2 linked regions of the Xenopus tropicalis genome follow. The protein of the gene in region 2 interacts with the protein of the main gene of each other region in a pairwise test. Links are inferred from orthologs where the notes say so. Each region holds a gene or a part of one and is shown on either strand. Other genes may lie near its edges.

Region 1 (2,646 bases), on a different chromosome or scaffold from region 2:
TTAAAATTTTTAAAAACAATGTTTTAAACTAACCTATTTCAAGAAAACATGTCAAAATAATAGTACTCCTGTTAAACTGTACCATTCATAATATTGGGAAACATCCATTTAATTGTTCAAAATCCTACCTTAATGCTTAATTCCTTCCGTGCTTGTTCAGTTTTACTTAATTCTTTGCGAAGAACATCTATAGTTTCTTCCATTTCTTCTTTCTCCTTTTGTTTTGTTTTCATCTTTTCCTCTAATGATTTTAGTTTTTGCTGCAAATCTAAGAAAACAGTTTTCATTGCACAAAAATAGTCAGAAAGACAATGAAGATCTATGTCAGCAGAATATATAGTTAAGCATGGTCTCTAATAAAGCTGAGTTTAATACTCCCTGACCTGAAACTGGGTGTTCGTGAAATAGCCTTTAACTCTTATTGTATATACTGCATTCCCCTTTTCTTTCCAAAATCATTATATATACGCAAGTGGTTGCATAGCCTGTGCCTGCATTCTTTAAATGAGAATGCAAGTCAAAATTTAAAATGCATACTGCCCAATAGTCCTCCTATTGTTTAGTAAAAACGCCACACTTTTGGCTCACCTAATCAAATATTTACTCAGTCACACTTACTTCACATTTTCTAGAACAGGCAGCCATCTCTAAAAAGGTATTCTCCCTTCCTTTCCCTGCTTGCTTCATACTGCACATGTGTTTCATTCCCCCCCCCTCCCCTCTGCCAGATCCGCTTCTGATTGGCTGATGGGCATGTGTAGCTCAGAACAGCAGACAGGATCAAGTTACACACATGCTCAGAGAATAGGAAGGCTGCCGCTGGCAGCCTACAGGAAGGGGAGAGAGATTTCAGTGATGTCACTGTAGTCTTCACACTGCTGTAGGCTGCCAGCACCATATCTCAGAGAAGCAAGCAGGGATCTGGGAATTAAGATATGCAGTAAGTACTTAAAAAGAATGCCTTTAGACTTTTAATTTATATGAACCTTTCATTGTCCTTTAAAAAGGATTGTCCAGCAAATACAACAGAATTTGCAATATTTTATCAAACAGAAAATCACTTACTTTTTATTTTACTATCTCTGTCCTGCAGTTGCTTATTTAAATCTTTATGTTGGTTTTCTAGTTCATTAAGTTGTGAGATAGTCCTGAAATATCAACAGTTGCTGCTTAGTTAGATACACATTAGCAAAGTTTTGTACACTTTAATGCAGAGACCATTTTAAGTAAAATACATTCATTTAACAAAAGCTGTCATACGTGTATGTTTCCAGACTGCAGGAGATTTAAAGGAGAAGCAAAGGTAAAAACTAAGTAAGTTTTATCAGAAAGGTCTATGTAAATACAGCCATAAGCACTTACAGCCTCCCAGACTCCCACCTCTCTCCCCTGCAATCAATCTTAAACTCTGCTGCCAGGATCCTCCTGCTCTCTCCAAAGAGGGAACCTGTTCAGCCCCACTTAAGCAAAGGATAGCTTACAAAATCCTTCTGCTAACATTCAAAGCCCTTCACTCCTCTGCTCCTCACTACATTTCCTCACTGGTCTCCCTGCATGTTCCTGGTCGTCTCCTCCGCTCCTCTCAGAGCCTCCGTCTTTTTACACCATCCACACCCACTGCGCTCTCTCGTCTTAAACCTTTCTATCTCGCTGCTCCTTACCTCTGGAACTCTATCCCTGAATCCCTCCGTAGGGAAAACTCACCCACTCTCTAAGAAAAAGCTCAGCTGTTACAATCTGGAGCACTAAAACACTATTTTGCCCAGTCCTGCGCTTAAGGGCAAGTGCCCATACCTGGTGCACTCTTACCTTCCAATTTGTGCCTGTATGTTACCCAACCGCTTAGATTGTAAGCTCTATGGGGCAGGGACCTCCTTCCTACTGTGTCTCATACCACATGGCACTTATTCCCTGTGCATTTATATATATTTATTGTATTTATTTATTATAACACTCGTCCTCCCTATTTGTAATTTTGTAAGATTGTACAGCGCTGCGTACCCTTGTGGCGCTTTATAAATAAAGTTATACATACATACAGTAATGCTGCACTCTATCAAAAGAAACACAGGATTTCTTCTCTTGTCCCTTAGGAATGTGTGATCTGAGCTATAACATCTAGACTGCAGGAAGAAAGCTACTTAAAATGGCAACTGATATCTTAAGCAAAGGAGAAAGCTTCTAAAACAGTTACCCAAGTATGGTAATGGTTTCTGCAGAATAAATATATTGCTCTAGGCAGTAAAATGCCAAAATGACTTTCCTTCTCCTTTAATAATTATGTTTTGAAAAAAGTGTTTTTGGACCTTTCAAATTTCAGACTCCTGCTGTGCTGTTTCACAGATCATGGAAATTATTCTGGGACCCACAGTGAGTGAAGAAAAAAAAATACAAATTACTTACTGTTCATTCTGTGTTTTTAGTGAATCATTCAGCTTTTTCATTGTTTCAGCTTGTTTAGTTAACAGATTATATGATGCTTGTAATTCTTTGTATTGTTTCTCACACAACTCATATCTACAAGGCAAAAACAGAACTGTCCTAGATTTTTTTATGTACTTTATAACAAAAAAAAAAAAAAATTGATAATGTGTTAGAGCCTACCAGAGTGAGATGGACCACCAATTAGGGTAATATTTGGGTAGA
Region 2 (2,779 bases):
CGAGGCTGCAGCACAAGGAGTAAACTGCCTAAAGCCAGAGTATATTGCCGACTACCTCATGAAGGTTTGTTTAGTGTATAAATTGCAGTCGCAGCTGAATCACATTTTTACTAAACAATGAAAAACATTAGAACTGATATCGGTATTCTTGTGCAACATTCTGAGATTTCTTTTTAATTTATTTTACTAACTTTATTAACCTTAATTCTACCTTCTGCCGCTAAATTTTATGTAATTGAAGTCAATTTTGATTGTATTTTTCAACATTGTTTCTTTACCGGTTATCCCTCTTCTGATTCCTTATCGTTTATTAAAGGGCACATGTTACCTACAATAGGCTACTGCAACCATTAAGCATTATAAAGCCTTCTCTCTGAGCGGGAGTACCTTGCTGACATTGCCAGTGGTCCAAACAAACAAGCATTACTTGAAGGCACTGCCAACCACATAATTCCCCTGTAACCCACTATACCTGGGTGTGTGCATGCTGTCTTGGTCTGCACATCCATATATTTCCAGTATATCACAGTCTGCTGGTAACTTTAGAAACATGCATATAGAAGTAGCCCTATATAAATAAAATTATACTTACATAAATACATATCCATATATTTATGCTGCTCACAGTGGGATATTGCAACTGGGAGCAGTTCCAGTGAAGGCCTCGTTGTTTTGGCTTCTGGCTGATGCTCTGATTCATGTTGTTTTAGCCTAAGAAAAAGTCCACCACAGTCTATATTCTCTTGTATGTGTTGCATTTTGCCTCACCAACTATAAGCAAGCAAAATATCGAGTAATTATTCCCACACAGATCTGTGCTGGAATGTCCTCCTTTCTTTTAGTTATATCATTTGTTATGCTATAAGGGTCAGATGCAATAAAGATAATACATGAAATCAAATACTCCTTTTGTTAATAATTGATGTGAGTAGAAGTAACAGACCAATATTTCTGGTTATAGGAGCCTCCTCCACCAGTCAACAATTACTGCCTCCCTGATGCTCTGCCATATCTTCAGATCACAGTGACTGGGCTTTCTCGCAAAAGGAAAAACTCTGGAGACATCTCTGATGTTAAGAGATCACGGCTTTACTGAGAGAGTGAGAAGTAAGAGCTAAAGGCAGCAGCTTAGCAATACCAGCTATGTTGCACTGTTCTTTTGTAACAAAATGGTATATTCTTTGTCATGTCTGTTTATTTATATGGGAATAGATTTTATATTTCAGATAATTTGTAGAAATGTATACAAATAACATGCAATGTGGTTTTTTTATACAATGTGGCATATGTTGCATGCCATCCATATTCATTGTGTACTGTTGCGGCCCATTTATTTGTACACCTGTATAAAAAGCAACTCTTTCTACTTATATTGATATTGTAGTTCCCTTATTACTCCTGACCAAGTTGCAGGGGACCAGCAATATTAAATTACATGCACATTTGTATGTATATTACTGTTTGTATATGTTCAACACAATAAATTTAAACACAAAAACTACCTCATCCATCTTGAATATGATGTAGGAAAATGAAATCATACTTTTACATACCCGAAATATCAGTAACATCTGTTAAAGAATATGTAAATCTTAAAATATGTCATGAAAAATTGTTTGGTGCTTTCCTAAGAACTTTTGCAATATTTGTTATTTTTGCAGATTCAGAGCTGCTAATATATGAATTTTTTAACAACAGCGCCACTTGTTGGTCAGTTCCTGTAACTGTACAGTCAGTGAGAAATTCAAAAGAAAAACCGAAAAGTGTTCTGATGTTGCTCTGCTCTAGAAGGGGAATGGGTATATTTATTAACATTGGGGAGAAACCTTACTGACTTGATGTTGCCCATTATTTTATATCTATGTACCATCTGGTTTCTCTCTGATCCATTTGAGCAGTTTGGAGGGTACACAATGGTTTGGTTATAATCTAACCTCAGTAAATATGAATATAATCGATTTCAAGTGTTGTGAATTATATGTTGTGATATGTCAGGAATTATATTGTTCAGAAGGGGCACTCAAATTGTTATCTAATAACCCAAGAGCAGAAGAGCTTTTTATGTTTCAACACATATAGGCTATTCTGAGACCTCTGCAATTTCTGAATCATATTGGTTGGTGTCATTCACTTAGGGGAAAGAGATTCCACCTCAGATGTATTCACTGCCTATCAGTATTATCCCTTTAGCCAATAGTTTTGCCCAACTCCTGCTCTGTACATTTAGTACAGGTATGGGATCCGTTATCCAGAAACCCATTATCCAGAAAGTTCTAAATTACGGCAAGGCCATCTCCCTTAGGCTCCATTTTAAACAAATGATTCTAATTTTAGGAAATAATTTTCCTTTTCTCTGTAATAATAAAACAGTACCTGTACTTGATCCCAGCTAAAATATAATTAATCCTTATTGGATGGAAAACAATCCTATTGGGTTTATTTAATGTTTAAATGATTTTTAGTAAACTTAAAGCATGGAGATGCAAACTACAGAAAGATCCCCTTATTCGGAAGACCTCAGGTCTCGAGCATTCTGGATCCCATACCTGTACATGAATGACTGATTTTGTCAGCATGAAATCAAACCTCTTGATTGGGGTCAAAGCCAGCTGAGGGATTCTTGTGCATAATGTATTGACTTCGGTATGTGTTGCATGAAGATTCTGATGGACTTGGGTTATACAAAGAAAGATCCATGATAATGCACCCTAATCTAGGAAGGAAAGTTATGGCATGGCCTCCAGGTCTTCACTAGTAATAGCATTGGGCACTATACAAG

What was found.
Region 1: the proteins of topbp1 (region 2) and cip2a interact in a two-hybrid assay, tested with the Homo sapiens proteins (2 studies listed by BioGRID). The link is inferred for Xenopus tropicalis from reciprocal best matches to the Homo sapiens genes TOPBP1 and CIP2A.

The regions. Positions count from the first base shown.
Region 1 is NC_030678.2:103,666,285-103,668,930, forward strand, and holds part of cip2a (protein CIP2A), read right to left. Parts: intron 2,518-2,646; coding exon 2,404-2,517; intron 1,149-2,403; coding exon 1,066-1,148; intron 269-1,065; coding exon 129-268; intron 1-128.
Region 2 is NC_030682.2:52,620,918-52,623,696, forward strand, and holds the end of topbp1 (DNA topoisomerase 2-binding protein 1), read left to right. Parts: coding exon 1-64; intron 65-961; coding exon 962-1,096; 3' UTR 1,097-1,958; downstream 1,959-2,779. UniProt on the Homo sapiens protein: Scaffold protein that acts as a key protein-protein adapter in DNA replication and DNA repair. Composed of multiple BRCT domains, which specifically recognize and bind phosphorylated proteins, bringing proteins together into functional combinations.